Diceros bicornis minor: one gene and its partner. The protein of the gene in region 1 purifies or fractionates together with the protein of each later gene. This does not show direct contact. Links are inferred from orthologs where the notes say so. Each region holds a gene or a part of one and is shown in the gene's direction. Other genes may lie near its edges. The genes, in order: SNX33 and DNM2.

Evidence for each region.
Region 2: the proteins of SNX33 (region 1) and DNM2 purify together in Homo sapiens (co-immunoprecipitation; 3 studies listed by BioGRID and IntAct, with this or other methods). This does not show direct contact. The link is inferred for Diceros bicornis minor from reciprocal best matches to the Homo sapiens genes SNX33 and DNM2.

Annotation. Positions count from the first base shown.
Region 1 is NC_080744.1:68,343,331-68,351,010, forward strand, and holds the start of SNX33 (sorting nexin-33), read left to right. Parts: upstream 1-4,168; 5' UTR 4,169-5,856; coding exon 5,857-7,327; intron 7,328-7,680. UniProt on the Homo sapiens protein: Plays a role in the reorganization of the cytoskeleton, endocytosis and cellular vesicle trafficking via its interactions with membranes, WASL, DNM1 and DNM2. Acts both during interphase and at the end of mitotic cell divisions.
Region 2 is NC_080769.1:8,596,111-8,604,769, reverse strand, and holds the start of DNM2 (dynamin-2), read left to right. Parts: upstream 1-5,392; 5' UTR 5,393-5,424; coding exon 5,425-5,585; intron 5,586-8,659. Other genes in the region: QTRT1 (queuine tRNA-ribosyltransferase catalytic subunit 1), read left to right, coding at 1,684-1,822, 2,070-2,145, 2,266-2,375, 2,458-2,545, 2,637-2,789. UniProt on the Homo sapiens protein: Catalyzes the hydrolysis of GTP and utilizes this energy to mediate vesicle scission at plasma membrane during endocytosis and filament remodeling at many actin structures during organization of the actin cytoskeleton.

The DNA of each region.
Region 1 (7,680 bases):
CAGTCTCACTCTCTTCCATCTTCAGCCCTTGCTCAACATGTCTGCAGCAGGACTCTTGGTTAACTTCCTTCTCCCCAGACGATAAACATAATAAAGTGAATTATACATGTTAGCAGGTGATAAGTGTTATGAATCAAAACAGCAGGATATAGGAGAGCTTGGGGAGAGGATGGGCTGTAATTTTATTTTATTTTATTAATTTTTTAAATTAATTTATTTTTTTCCTCCAAAGCCCCAGTAGATAGTTGTATGTCATAGATGAACATCCTTCTAGTTGCTGTACGTGAGACGCGGCCTCAGCATGGCTGGAGAAGCGGCGCGTCGGTGTGCGCCCGGTATCCGAACCTGGGCCACGAGCAGCGGAGCGCGCACTTAACCGCACTTAACTGCTAAGCCACGGGGCCGGCCCCAGGGCTGTAATTTTAAATAGGGCATGTCAGGATAGGTCTTATTGAGAAGGTGATATTTTATAGGGGTTTAGCCATGTGGGTATCTGGGGGAAGAACATTTCAGGAAGAGGACATGGTGCAAATGCCTTAAGACAGGAATGTGCCTGACGTCTCAGAAGAGGAGTAACAAAGCCATCTTGCCTGGAGCAGAGTGGGCTAGGAGGGGAGGAAAGGATGCTCAGATAACAGAGGCTCATAGGCCCAGGTAATAAGGACTTTGGCTTTTTTTGTGAGTGAGATGAGGACACTGAAGGGTTTTGAGCAGAGGACTGACATCTAACTTAAGTTTTATTTTATTTATTTTTTATTTTTATTATTTTTTTTGGTGAGGAAGATTGGCCCTGAGTTAACATCTGTTGCCAATCCTCCTCTTTTTGCTTGAGGAAGATTGTTGCTGAGCTACCCTCCGTGCCCATCTTCCTCTACTTTATATATGGGACACTGCCACAGCATGGCTTGATGAGCAGTGCATATGTCCGTGCCTGGGATCCGAACCCATGAACCCCGGGTCACTGAAGCAGAGCACACGAACTTAAGTACTACGCCACTGGGCCAGACCCCTAACTTATGTTTTAAAAGGATAACTCTAACTGCTGTGTTGAAAAGAGACTGTCAGGAGGCAGGAGTGGAAACACAGACCATTAGGAAGCTGTTGCAGTGATTCAGGTGAGAAAGATGGTTTCTGGGACCAGGAGAGCAGTAGTGAGATGCCAGTGAGAGAGGAGTCCCAGGATGATGAGAAGAGTCAGGGATGGCTCCAGGTTTTGGCCCAAGCAAGTGGAAGAAAGTACTCATCACCTGAGATTGGGAAGGCTACCAAGTAGAACAAGTTTGGGGGGCAAGATCATAAATTCAATTTCGCACATGTTGGGTTGGAGATGTCTATTAGACACCCAAGGGGAGATGTCAAGGAGAAAGATATGGGAGTCTGGAATTTTAGGGAAATTAGGCTGGAGATTAAAAAAAAAAAAAAAAAGGCGTTATTGGCAGATAGATGGTGTTTGAAGCCATGAGCCTGGGTGAGATCATCGAAGGAGTGAATATGGATAGAAAAGACAAGAGGATCACTCTCCTGTAGTCACTCTAGTGTTAAGAATTATTGGAGAGAAGAGGATGAACCAGCGAGGTAGAGGGGGGACCAGGAGATTACGGTCTCCCCAGTGCAAGTGAAGAAAGTGTATCCGGGGGAAGGGGTGATCAACCTGGTCAAATGCTGCTGAGAGGTTGAGTAAGAGGAGGACGGAGAATAACAGGTCACTGATGACCTTGACAAGAATAGTTTCAGTGGAATGTGAGGGTGGAAGACTGGCTAGAGGCGTTTAAGAAGAGAAGGGGGGAAAGAAATTGTACATAGCTAGCAGAGATGGCTGTTTTGAGGAATTTTGCTGCAAAGGCAGGCAGAGAAATGAGGCAGTAGTAGAAATGAGGGTGGGGGAAGTGGAGTCGAGAATCTATTCTTTCGAGATGTGAATTGACTTTTTCCTCAATACCTACATCTTGTTGGTTGCCATTTCTGTCAATTCTACCTCCATAAACTCCCAGAGTTACTACTCCCTAGCCCATTACCCCTCCGCTACCTCAGGCCCTCATTATCTCTTGTCTGCATTACTACAGTAATAGTCCAGTGTGTCCTCTATGCTGCCACCAGCCGGGAAGCCACTGGCCACGGTTCTCCCTTGCTGACTTCCTTCCTAAAGGAGGAAAGGTAGATGCCTGGATGGGGGATGGATGCTGTTTCCTGTGCACAAATCAGGGTCCCAGCAGGAAAGAGACCACACTCCAATTAGAATAATGTGAGGATAATTTAACAAAGGGACTTTTTCCAAAGAAATGGGCAGAGTGTAGGAAAACCACAAAGGTTAGTGCAATTTTCTGAGACTAGCGACCAGGGGTTCTGTTACCCCTAGGCTTTAAGAGGGTCCCTGGAAGGGAGGGAATGAAAGATACGGGTTCTGGAAATTTCTGTGAGGCTGAAGAGTGAGTTTCCGCCAAGAACCTGTAAATAAGGGTGGCCCCTGAGAGAAAAACCCACCCAGAATAGATGTGGGAGTAAATCCAAGATGGTTGATCTGTAAATGTGTGACTGAAGTGTTTGGGAAACAACTAAAGGCCATCAAGGTGGTGGCTGGGAACATTTTAGGGGGGCGGGGCTGGACTAGGACCCTAGTTGGGTGAGCAGAAATCCCATCAACTGTATTAAGTGAGCCAATAAAGGTAAAATGGTTACAACAGTGTCTAGCACTCAGCAAGCACTAAACTAGTTGCTATTGTCAAACCCAGCCTGGCGAGAGGCTAGGTGAACAGAAGAGAGATCATAGAAAAGGAGTGTCCCAAAAGCATCTGGGGGAAACATATATACTGGCTCTGGCCGTGGAGATACTAGGCTGAACTGAGTCCTTAGGATCAAGGCTGCCCCTGTGGCAGGGGACAAGATCTCAAGGTTTCTTGGCTGAGAGACTTGTCATACCATCCCCTCTTCCCATCCTGGGGGTTCCAAGTTCATGGGGCTAACCTTCCGGTAACTGGGCTTCTCAAGAAGCAGCCCAAACTGCCTTGGGCTATTGATGCAAAAATTCAGGGCTGCCTGACAGTTGTATTTCTCTGTGCAAATTAATACCTGGGCTTCTGAGGTTTGTACTACATAAGCCTTTATTCTGGTCAAATGCCAGCCCTGCATAGGGAACTGGATCTACTCACTGCACTCATGAAACTGGGTTTGTAGCCAGAGGCCTGCAGATCATACCCCTCAGTACAGCCAAAGGTGCACACCTTTAGCAGCACTACTTTGTGCCAGTTCATCTGCAACAAGTGGGAAGAGTGAGAATGAGACGGAAGGAAGTTCTGGTTAGAGGGGGTAGGTAGGCAAGGTGCCAGGGCACAGCCGGGAAGGAGAGTAGGGGCTGAAACCTTTGCCTCACCTTAGGCACCTCCTCCAGGAAGCCTTCCTTCATCCTTGCTCCACCCAGGCTGGGATAGGTGCTCTCCCACTCTCATTTCCTGGCATTGGTCACACTGAGCAGGGAGCATCTGTTTACTTGTCAACACATCTGAGCTGCTGGAAGGATAATGTCTTATTTGTGTTTGTAGCCCAGGGGGCCTGGTACGGAATAGTTACTCAGTTAATGTTTCCTTGAGTGCATGATTTAATGAATAAGACGGAGACAACGGATGAATTAAGGACAAGAGGGCGGATTGTAAACTCTCCAGGGCAGGAACCCGGACTGCCTTGTTGTGCAGTAATCCCCAGTGCCCAGCACAGTGCCTGCCAAAGTTAACGCCCAGTGTTCCGGATGGGCTGACTAAGGGTCAAATCCCCTTCGCCTCCTCTCGGAAGCCTACCCCAACCACCCCTTTCTCCTCGCTGCTGCTGGCGAAGACAGAACTTCCAGTCTTCCCAGCCGCACAAAGCAACATGGAACTGGATCGTGCCTGAGCTTGCTCCCTGCCGCTACAGATATAGGGTCTTGTCCTTCCCCCTGAAGGAAGTCGCCCAGGGCAGGAGTGCTCCTGGCCCTGTCTGGTCAGGGTATTAGGACCTGAAGAGGCCAGTATCCCAGGTCGCTCAGGCTTCTTCTGGTGAGGGCGCAGCTGGCTCTGGGGCCCCCTCCAGCGAACAATTCCGGGGCTGCGCCACGCTGGGGGCGGGGGCGGGGAGAAGGGGACGGGTAGGGGGGCGTCCGCGGCTCTCCACGCACCCTTCCTCAATCCCTTCCCCCCCGGGTCCCGGCTCTGGAGCCCTCCTGGTAGCCCCACACTTTGCAAACTTTCGAGTTTTCCTCCACTTGCGTCACGGAAAAGGCAGGAGAGTGACAGAGTCCAGGAGGCTAGGCGGCGGCGGCTGGCGAGCTCCCCCGCGCGGCTCTCAAGCCCGGCGGGGCGAGAGACGTCTCACTGCGAGGCCGGACGGGCTCGGGAGTGCGGCCGCCCTAGGGACTGGTCCCGGAGGCCCGCGGGCCCCTACTTCCCGGGTCGTCTCCTCCCTCTCGCATTCCGATCTCAGCGCGAGCGAGTGAGGGCGACGGCCAGGAGAGAAGCGAGGAGGAGGCGGGAGCCCCGGCTCCAGCGCCCCAGGCCCGCGGGAGGGCGGAGCCGGGCCGTCCCTGCCCAGCCCGGACGCACGGAAGTGCTGTGGAGTTTGCCCAATTCCCCAGCCTGCTTTTCCTCCCTCCCTCTCTCTCTCCACCCCTCACGTCCCCCCTCAGCTATTCCCTCCTTCCTCGGGACGCCACCTCCCGGAATCGCCTTTTTTTGTTTTGGAGCTGGTTTATCGCTGGCTGCGCAGAGGGACTGCTAGTGCTGGAGTTGAAGGCGGGCTGGGGGCTCAGCTCGCCGTCCACCGGCTGGACCCCGCGGGGCCGAGAGGAGGACGGAAGGACAGACGGCCGGGTGCGCCATCAGCTCGCGGGAGCTCACTCTCCAAACTCCTGTTGAGTGTGTGCGTGCGCGCGAGGGGTGGGGGTCTGCTTGTCTAGCGCGCCGGGACCGGTTGCTGCGGGGTTTACTTTTGGGCGGGGGTCCTTGGACTGCGATCAGGGTCAGCTTCAGGCTCAGAGACTGCTGGGGAATTAGGCAAACAAAAGAGGCCACGCAGCTAGTGACCAGAAGTCGCCTGAGCGCCTCGTCGCGCCCTCTCCGTCTCAGAGGTGGGGGCTGGCCACTTGAGGGGCGGGGAGAGGGCGCCCCAGCCGGCTGGGGGCCGGGCTGGGCCGCCGGGGTTGAAGAGTTGGCGGCCTGTTGTGTAAGCCTCAGTCCTTGTTTTCCCTGCCTGGCTTGTTGTGAAGCCGGACACATCCACCCTTGGACTCGATTCAGGAGGCTGCTGCTTTTCTCCTTGCCCCTCTTGGATTTTCTGGATTTCTGAAAACCCAGTGGCCCAAGAGGAGGAGGAGGAAGGAGGAAGGGGCAGATCTGCAGAGGAATGTGAGAGCCTCCCAAGGCCTGAGGAGACAGAAGGAGCTGGGAGCCAGAGCTGCCGGGATTTCTGGAACGGTGGTTTCTGAGCGATTCTCTTCTATTTTAGAACATTGTTCCAGTGGAGAGTGGTGAATTCTTGCCCTCTCTGAGCTGGTTTCTCCCAGTCACTTGACTTTTCTTCTGGGAGTGGGAGAAAGAGAGACATCCCCCTCAGGAGCTGCCAAGGGAAGGGAGAAAGACTATGGACATGAGCCCTCCCTGCTCACATGTGTGTGCTGGGAGACCAGAAAGGGCAGTTTCTGGGCCATGGACATTGTTTTGAAGAGAGGAAGGCTGGACAGCATCTGTGGGTGCAGAGACCCTGCCTAAGGGGCTGAGAGACTGAGTTGCTGTGGCAGGCCTTGAGTCGCTAGTGCATTCTTGGACACCGTAGTGAGTGTCCCCAGTTCTGGGCAGGACCCTCTCCTCATCTTTCTCTACCACTGGCCCAGCCATGGCACTGAAAGGCCGAGCCCTCTATGACTTCCGCAGTGAGAACAAGGAGGAAATCAGCATCCAGCAGGATGAGGACCTTGTCATCTTCAGTGAGACCTCGCTGGATGGCTGGCTGCAGGGTCAGAACAGCCGTGGTGAGACAGGGCTCTTCCCCGCCTCTTACGTGGAGATCATCCGTTCTGGCACCAGCTCCAACCATGCTGACTATTCCGGCAGCCCTGCAGGCTCTCTGGGCACCCAGGTGAGCTTGTATGACAGCTCCAGTGTGGCCAACCCTTCCAGGAGTGGTGGGGGCAGTGGCTTCCTCTCAAACCCAGGCAGCTTCGAGGAGGACGATGATGATGACTGGGATGACTGGGACGATGGATGCACAGTGGTGGAGGAGCCACGGGCTGGTGGGCTGGGCACCAATGGGCACCCACCACTCAACCTCTCCTACCCTGGTGCCTACCCCAGCCAGCACATGGCCTTCCGGCCAAAGCCACCTCTGGAGCGGCAGGACAGCCTGGCATCTGCCAAGCGAGGCAGTGTGGTGGGGCGCAATCTTAACCGTTTCTCGTGCTTCGTGCGCTCTGGAGTGGAGGCCTTCATCCTGGGTGATGTGCCCATGATGGCCAAGATTGCTGAGACATACTCCATTGAAATGGGCCCTCGTGGCCCCCAGTGGAAGGCCAACCCCCACCCATTTGCCTGCTCCGTGGAAGACCCCACCAAACAGACCAAATTCAAGGGCATCAAAAGCTATATCTCCTACAAGCTCACGCCCACCCACGCTGGCTCACCTGTCTACCGGCGCTACAAACACTTTGACTGGCTCTACAACCGCCTGCTGCACAAGTTCACTGTCATCTCAGTGCCCCACCTGCCAGAGAAGCAGGCCACAGGCCGCTTCGAGGAGGACTTCATTGAGAAGCGGAAGCGGCGGCTCATCCTCTGGATGGACCACATGACCAGCCACCCTGTGCTGTCCCAGTATGAGGGCTTCCAGCATTTCCTCAGCTGCTTGGATGACAAGCAGTGGAAGATGGGCAAACGCCGGGCAGAGAAGGACGAGATGGTGGGTGCCAGCTTCCTGCTCACCTTCCAGATCCCCACAGAGCACCAGGACCTGCAGGATGTGGAGGACCGTGTGGATACCTTCAAGGCCTTCAGCAAGAAGATGGATGACAGCGTCCTGCAGCTCAGCACTGTAGCATCGGAGCTGGTGCGCAAGCATGTGGGGGGCTTCCGCAAGGAATTCCAGAAGCTCGGCAGTGCCTTCCAGGCCATCAGTCATTCCTTCCAGATGGATCCCCCCTTTAGCTCTGAAGCCCTCAACAGCGCCATTTCTCACACGGGCCGTACCTATGAAGCCGTGGGTGAGATGTTCGCTGAGCAGCCCAAGAACGACCTCTTCCAGATGCTTGACACACTGTCTCTCTACCAGGGCCTGCTCTCCAACTTCCCCGACATCATCCACCTGCAGAAAGGTAAGACTCAGTGCAGGCAGGAGACCCTTACTGAGTCTGCACTCTGCTGGGCACCGGGGATCTGAGAATGGCCTGGACAGAACAGAGCGGCTCGTCTGGTCTTTCCGTCTGTCTCATTCATTCATTCCACAAGTGTGTTGAGCACCTCCCATGTGGTGGGTGCAGGGATATTACTGTGGATAGGTCTGGTCCCTGTCCTCATAGAGCTCGCTGTTTACCTTCTTGTTGTCTGTTTGTTCATTCATTCATTCATTTTCTCTGTTTCTGTCTCATTTACTCATTTACCCATCATGCTCTGAGCCTTCAAGGTATCAGGCTGGGTCTGGGGACATGGAGATAAGCAGGGCCCAGGC
Region 2 (8,659 bases), on another chromosome or scaffold:
CCAGCAGAATGGTGACACTGAGACTTGAACCAAGGCCATGGCCGTGGAGACAAAAGGGAGGCAGAGATGGGGGCTCAAAGGCAGTGAGGTGTCATGGGAAGACTGTGGGTTCTGGGGTCTTTTGGGCTGGATCCAAATCCCTGATCTGCTGCCTCATGGCTGTGCACCCTTGGGCTAGTGGCTTGGCCTCTCTGAGCCTCACTTTCTTCCTCTGTAAAATGGGAACATACTCCCAGTGTCGTGGGGACAAAGTGAGGAATAATTGGGGAACTCTGTTCAAAGTGTCCCACCTGGCACCCACCGGTGTGTGCTGTTGTGAAAATTGTCGTTGAAATTCCTCTTTGTCCTCACACTGGGCCCCCCACCCCCAGGTCTCCAGTCCAGTCTTTTTAACGGAGTCCCACAGTCAGAGATATACTTCATGTCCTGCTTAGTACGCGTGGCTGTATATGAAAGCAGAAACCTTTTGTGAAGTATTACCTTATATGTGAGAGGCTTTCTGGTATCTTCTGTTTTCTTTCTTTTTTATTTTATTTTTTTTGTGAGGAAGATCAGCCCTGAGCTAACATCTGACGCCAATCCTCCTCTTTTTGCTGAGGAAGACTGGCCCTGGGCTAACATCTGTGCCCATCTTCCTCCACTTTATATGCGGGATGCCGCCCCAGCATGGCTTAATGAGCGGTGGGTAGGTCTGTGCCCGGGATCTGAAGCTGCGAACCCCAGGCCGCCCAAGTGGTGCGTGTAGACTCAACCACGACGGCACTGGCCGGCCCCTCTGTTTGCTTTCATTTAAAAAAACCAACCGCCCTGTCTTGCCCCATTAATTCATTTCTCGGCCACCTGCAGTCTGTCAAGCACCGCCCTGGTGGCACTTCTCAAAGTCCTCCGAGGCCCAGCTGCACAGAACCCCCTGGGCTGTCGTCCCCCAGGACTGGATCAGACAGGGGGCGAGGGGGGACCTGGGAAGCGGCATTTGAACAACCCGTCCCCCGTCGATTCTGCTGCTCACTCCAGCTTTAAAACCTGGCCCCAGACCGGGCCTGCTTGGTCGGGGCTGTGGCCTCCCCTGGTTGAACTGGGAAGCTGGGGCCAGAGACCCCGGTTCGAATCCTGCCTCTGCCACATGGGGCCCCAGGCTAGTGGTTTAAGCTGCGCATGCGCGACAGTGGTGCGATCTGCAGCCCCTTCTCTGTCATTCTGAAGCCTAATCTCCCACTTCTTTTTTTTTTTTAAAGATTTTATTTATTTATTTTTCCCCCAACGCCCCAGTAGATAGCTGTCTGTCATAGCTGCACATCCTCCTAGTCGCTGTATGTGGGACCCGGCCTCAGCATGGCCGGAGAAGCGGCGCGTCGGTGCGCGCCCGGGATCCGAACCCGGGCCGCCAGCAGCGGAGCGCGCGCACTTAACCGCCAAGCCACCAGGCCGGCCCTAATCTCCCACTTCTAAAATCCAGATTGCTCAGGAATTTGCAGTTCATCTGCTGGCAGCACCCTAGACACACACACTCAAATACACACACTTACGTGCACACTCATATTCTCTCTTTCTGAGGGGCCTGTGGAGGACTGGGCAGGGTCCACCCATGGGCCAGGAGGAGGGGGCGGGGAGGAGGGAGGAGGCAGTGGTGGCGGCAATGCATTTCCCTCTGCCTGGTCCCCCTCCCCTTGCCCCGGACCCCAGAGATGACCAAGAGGGACGTGCCCGGCTTCGCCATCGGGGGCCTGAGCGGGGGCGAGAGCAAGAACCAGTTCTGGAGGATGGTCGCGCTGAGCACGTCGAGGCTGCCTAAGGATAAGCCCCGATACCTGATGGGGGTCGGGTATGTGGAGAGGAGGGGCGACAGCCTCACCTGTGGGGAGCGGATAGCTGGGGACCCCTGCCCCCCGGGGTTGGGGCGGGAGGATGCAGCCCTGCCTGGGAGGGGACTGAGGGGGACATGGCCCTCCCCTGAGGGCGGTTCTGAGGGAATGCAGCCCGGTCCCCGGGGAGTCTGAGGGTGGGAGGGGGCTCTGAGTGTGTGACCCGGGCTTGAGGTTCTCTGCGCCCCCCCACGGTCCCACCCCCAGCTATGCCACCGATCTGGTGGTCTGCGTGGCTCTCGGATGCGACATGTTCGACTGCGTCTTCCCCACGCGGACGGCGGTGAGGCCCTGGGCAGGGGGCAGACAGGGGCGGGGACTGGGGGGAGTGCCAAGGTGGGGGCGGGGCCGGGGCGGGTGAAGACCCCTGGACCCGCCTTCCCGTCCCCCTCTCCTCCCGCAGCGCTTCGGCTCCGCGCTGGTGCCCACGGGGAACCTGCAGCTGAAGAAGAAACAGTATGAGAGGGACTTCCGCCCCATAGACCCCGAGTGCGCCTGTCCCACGTGCCAGATGTAGGGGGCTGGGGACTGGGGGCGGGGCAGGGCGCGGAGCGGGGCTGGACCCTCGCGCTGCTGAGCCCCGATCTGCCCCCAGGCACAGCCGGGCCTTCCTGCACGCACTGCTCCACAGCGACAACACCGCCGCCCTGCACCACCTCACTGTCCACAACATCGCCTACCAGGTGGGCTGGTGGCCGGGCGGGCCAGGCCGGGGGGTGGCCGGGGTCTCCCGGGCGCGGGGGCTGACGCTGACACCTCCACCCTGCCCCGCAGCTGCAGCTGATGAGCGCCGTGCGCGCCAGCATCGTGGAGAAGCGCTTCCCCGACTTCGTGCGCAACTTCATGGGCACCATGTACGGGGACCCCACCCTCTGTCCCGCCTGGGCCACCGAAGCCCTGGCCTCTGTGGGCATCACACTGGCTTGACCCGGCTTGGGGGAGGGCGGGGGAAGGGGAGGGAAGATATTGAAGGATTTGGGTTTTTTATTATAACTTAGTGTCTGTGCCTTCTTGGGGAGGTGGCCTGTCTTGGTCCCCTTCCTGGTCTGAGTGTCACTGAGGCTGATGTCCCTCCCCCGCACCATTGATAAATTACCAGTAACCATAGCAGCAGCTGGTATCCGGGAACCACCTGGCACAGCCCAGCATGTAGGAAGTGCCCCAGAGTGGGAGCCACATGGTTGACCCTGTGGCTCAGGCCCCAGCCACGCTGGGGTGGACACTCGTGTCCTCCTCCTTTTTAGAGGCGAGGAAGCAGGCCCAGAGAGGGGAAGTAGCTTGCCCAAGGTCACCATGGAAGGAGTAGAGGCCTGGCTCCGGATCTCATGCTCTTAGCCTTGACTCTTGGGACATGTGGCTTCATCTCGCTGTCAGTACACACAGTCATGACGACAGTGGGTGTGATGCACTGTTCTAAACAGCTGTCACGTGCATTTAATTCTTGAAACCTTCTGATGCATAGGTAGCTACATTCCCCATTTTACAGATGAGGAAACTGAGGTTCAGAGGAATGAGGTCACTTGGTCATTATCACCCAGCACAACAGGCCCAGGATCTAACCCAGATATGGCCAATTACAGACGGGGTACTCTTAGAAGATAAGGTTTTTTTAATTGAACAGTAATAGGATGTAGGATCCACAATTCAAATAGCATAAAAATGCAACTGCTTTGATCAGTTTGGGTATTCTTCCAGAAATTTTCCATGTGGGGCCAGCCCAGTGGCGCAGCGGTTAATTTAAGTGCAGGCGCTCTGCTTCGGCGGCCCGGGTTTCACAGGTTCGGATCCCGGGCATGTGCCAACGTACCACTTGTCAAGCCATGCTGTGGCGGTATCCCATATAAAGTGGAGGAAGATGGGCACGGATGTTAGCCCAGGGCCGGTCTTCCTCAGCAAAAAGAGGAGGATTGGCATCGGACGTTAGCTCAGGGCTGATATTACACACAAAAAAACAAAAAAATTTTCCATGTGTATATATATTTTTTTCATGAATGTCAGCGTCCTTTACACGCAGTTCTGTCCCTTGCTATTTTTTTTCTTTCTTTTGTTATATCTCAGATTATTTACACATCAGTACATGAAGACTAACTCAATCTTTTTTACAGCTGTTGCATAGTATTTATGAGCTCCATGGATGGGCAGTTAGGGTGTTTCCAGGTTTCTGTGATTGTGGTCAAGGCCGCATTGCCAAAACTTGTTGGTCGTCTTGTTGCCCATTTCTCTGAGACCTGGGGTTATGGGTCAGGGAGCAGGCCCATCTGTTCCCCAAGGGATCAAATCACTTTTCTTAAAATCCTTCCACATATCCCCGGCCTCTTTTCTAAGAGGTTAATGGTTTCGGTTCCCACAACCCCCAACTGTTGCCTGCAAAATAAGGTGTCTTTACCTGGGGAGAGGATCGTTGAGTTTCACCGGGCACTCCAAAAGATCCAAGATGCGCTCAAGTTGAAGAGGCAGGAGAACAACGTTGGAGCGTTAGCCGCAGCAAGACGGGGCGTGAGCGGAAAGTATTCCTAGGAGAGAGCACAGCATTTGCAAAGGCTTAGAGGCGTGACTTTATAGGAATGAAAGTGGGGGCCAGCGATGCAGTGCTAGACCGCCTCTCCCTAAGAACGACTCACATCGCCTGATTCTCACCTTCAAAGCGCGTTGGGACCCCGCGCGGAGAGCTGGTTTGCGAGCCCGGGGCCGAGATGCATTCTGGGACTTGTAGTTTTCTCTCGAGCCCGGAAACTCACACATGAAGATCACCACCGGGTCCCACCACGAGGTGGCGTCCTTAGGCGAGTAAGGTGGGCTTTACCCTGTACTCCAGAAGCCTCTCCAATAGACATACAACAATCCCAAGTCAAAACGGGAGATTTTTTGATTGACAAATGCAGTGATCAATCAGAGTCAGGGTTCAGAGGTTAAAGCCCGCCCTCTTTCGTTTTGTTGGCTGATGGAACGGAGTGATAGTTATATAAACCAATAGGAAGTTTTTAGGGAACTAGGTAGCGTCAAGTGACAAACCAGTGTCTAAGGATCGATCCCTAATATCATTGGCCAGCTTTGTTGACTGGCGGGTCTTCCTGCCAATAAGACTGGCGGATTTTCCTGCCATCGGGAATCCCTCCCTAATAGGCGGCACCAATATGCCTTTTCCCGAAACACCGCCCCCTGGCCTTGACAACTCGCTTCCCGCCGCTATTGGCTCTTGCACAACAGCGACAGCTCTTGCGTCCAATCAGCCCGCGAGAAGGTCCCCCGGGGGAGACTCCCCGCCCGTAAGCCCGTGCCTCGCTTTCATTGGCTCGTGTGCACGAGTGGCAGCCCGGCCGGCCAATCGGAGCCGGCGCAAGAGCTTTGGGCGCAGCCCCGGGGCCCGGGCGGGAGGTCGCTCGGGTCGGGTGTCGCCTGAGAACCGGATGAGGCGGCGACCGTGAGGCCGAGCCGGGAGCGGGCGTTGCGCCGAGGCCCGGGCGTGCGGGGAGCAACGGCCGCGGACTCCGCGGGGCCGCGTCGTTGAGGGCCGGGGGCGGGCGGGGAGCGCGGGGCGCTCGGGCCGGGGGCCGCCGGCGCCATGGGCAACCGGGGGATGGAGGAGCTGATCCCGCTGGTCAACAAGCTGCAGGACGCCTTCAGCTCCATCGGCCAGAGCTGCCACCTGGACCTGCCGCAGATCGCCGTGGTGGGCGGCCAGAGCGCCGGCAAGAGCTCGGTGCTCGAGAACTTCGTGGGCCGGTGAGCGAGCGCGGCGGCGGCGGGCGGCGGGCGGCGGCCTGGCGCGGAGGGCGGACCGGGAATGGCGCGCCGTGCGCCGCCGGCGTAACTGCGGCGCTTGCGTGCCCGCGGCGGGACGGGGACAGGGAGGCGGGCCTGCGGGCGCCCCGGGCGGAGGACTCCCTGCGGGGGCCGGGGGCCGTGTCGCGGGCTGGGGGCGTGGGCCCCGAGGCGCGGTGGACCCCCGCCGGCTCCCCGGTCCCCAGCTTGAGTGGGTGAAATCTACTATCTGGTTGCCGCTGGGTCCGGGGTAGGTCCGCCTTCTTTGCGTCTCTCTATCCGCAACCTGCCAGCTAGATACCTATCGGGCCGACCCCTGCCGTCTGGCTGGCTTTTCATTTATCTGGAGCAGCCCTCGCCGTCTGGTTGGCCCTCACTGCGTCCTGGATAGGCCTCCCTGCCACCACCATTTGGCTGTCCATCTGGCCAGTCCCGCAGGGCAGCCCCCTGCTGTCTGGCTAGCTGTCCAGGGTGACCTGTGCAGTCTGCCTGCCCATCCGTGCCCCTCACAGACTTTAACGCTTAACCATCCATCTGTAGGGTCACCCCAGCTGGCCTCTGGCGTCTGACTGCCTGGCTGGACCCTAAGGGGCCCTGTTGTCTGGCTCGCTTGGCCTCACTTTTCAGCTTGGCTCCTGGCAAACGCTGTCTCCTCTCTTCCAAGTGGATCCTTTTGTCTGTCTGTCCTGGTGTCTGTCCTTTTCCTGGTCTGCCCGTCGGTGCCCTGGCGGCCCCCGACTGTCTGGCCCAAGCTCTGGCAGGGGGTGGTGGGAGCATGCAGAGGAGAAGGGAGCTGAAGGATGAATGTTGAACGCCTTCCTTCTCAGTTGGAAGTAGGACCCCAGTGGAACTTTCTCCAGGATTCTTGCCTGGCCCCTGTCAGGGTGCTCCAGGTCCCCAGAACACAGGGGCCAGCCTCCAGGCTAAAGCTTGCAAATTGGGAGGCCCTCCTTGGAGCCTAGGAAGGAACTTCTTGCCTGCTCAGGCCTCAGTGGCAAGAGCTGGAATACAGCCTTCCCTGGGCAGCCCTGAGAAGCCTCAGTTTGCGCATCTGTCCAGTGGGCAAATTCCACTCTCTGGGCTGTTTTCCAGGATTCAGGAAGCTAATGAATGAGAACAGGCACTGAGGCCACCGAGGGTGGTTAGTTCGCCCCTCTCCCTTCGCCCCTCTCCCTTCGCCCATCTCTTGCCCTTCTGCCTCCCAGATGGGCGGCCACTTCTCCATTCTGGGAAGGACTCCATTTGTGACCGTGGCTGCCACATGATACCATCATAGTCATCAGTCTCATCGTTATTATTACTGTTGTTGTCAGTGTTATGAGGTCACGTTCATCCAGCAGGCCTAGTGCTGAGTTCTTTCTTGGTTTGGTATCTTGATTCCCACCATCAGCGGGTGGGGTGGAGCTTCTGTCATCCCCGCCTTAGAGATGAGCGGGGAGGCTCAGAAAGGACTCGCCGTTTGCCCAAGGCCACCGGGCTGGCGCTCAGTGGAGCCCAGCTGGGCACGCACCCCGCCTCTGCCTCCCAGAGGCCTGGAGTTTTGCTCCCAGCGGCACGAATCTCCTCCTCTGCTGCTTTACCTCTGGCGAGCTGCCCTCTGTCCACTGTGGCAGAAAGGTGTGGACTTGGGGTCAGCTGGGGCTGGGCTGATCCTCGGGCCGGGCTGTGGGCCCCTGCGTGCGTGGCCATCTTCCTGCCTGCCCAGGCTTCCAGTGGGCGTCCGTAAAGCTGTCCATTTCATTTGCCTTTGACCTTGCACAGGTTATTTGGTCTCTCTGAGCCTCAGTTTTCCCTCCTAAAAATGGGGTGACGATCCCTCAACAAGACTGTTGCAAGGATGCAGTGAAAGTTCTTCCTTAGCACATAGTAGGTCTACATGGACGGGGCCGGTGTTCACCAGGCTGCTTCCTCTCATGTCGACAACAAAAGCTAATTAGAATTAAGTGCTCTCAGGTAACACACTGGACTTGGTTTAAGCCTTATGAGGCTGGCGCTGCTGTGATTTCTGTTTTACAGAGCAGGAAACTGAGGCTCAGAGAGCTGAGCACGCTGCTTGGGGCTGTTCAGTGAGGAATTGGCGGCTCTGGGGTTGGGGGCCCGGGGTTTCCCTTCCCTCCCCACCTCTCCTCGGTCCCTCTGCCCCTGGCCTTTCTCTTCGTCCCACTCTGGCATCTGGCGACTGCCGGCCACTGCTGAGCTGCCTCCTGTGGCAGCCTCCTTCCAGAAGCCTGCAAAGCGACATCGGTCATTCAGAACATTAATTCAGGGCCCAAAAACCAGAGTTGTGAAAAGGCCTCTCTTCGGGGATGGGGTGCACAGAGCTAACTTCTTCTTAGTTCTGGAATGTGGATGAGGCCTCTCAGCCTCAAAGCCCTGCCACAGGGGACGGCAGGCGGGCCTCATGTGGAATCCCCCTCCTTCTTTTTGTGACTTTGGCCACGCCGTGCATCGTGGACCTGTGCTGTGGACCTCCTGCTGGTTTCGGGGAGCAGACGAGAGTGCGTGTCAAGGGCCTGTGCCTGGGGACCAGCACGGGCTGCTCCGGTTCATTGCCCCCTCCTTGTGGATTTTCTAAGAATGTTGTCTGAGTGGGAATGGCCCTCTTCACTCAGCCCTGTACCACGGGTTGCAGATCCGTGGCCCCGGGAGCCCAGGCCTGCTTGCTGGGTCTTTGGTTTTACCTGCATGGTGTTTAAAAAAAAAATTAGCTACCAACATTGAAAAATTAGATTTTGCGTCAAAATCTGGATTTTTGCGGTGTTAGCAGAGACCCAAAGATCTTTAGAATTTAGTGGTGTAGCACAGGCTCTGGGCCCAAGGACCGGCTCCATGTTTGGCTTTGTGACTTTGGCCAAGTGGACTCAGGTTCCTTTTCTGTAGAATGGGGTGATAACTAGACCCTCCTGGGGCGTGGACTCTGTACCCGTGGCTGCTGTTGTTAAAATCATTGTATTCTGGCCTCCTTGGGCTGGCGTCTTGCTTGGCACCAACTGCCTGGATCTCAGAAGGAGCAGCTGCTGGCTGCCCCATCAGAC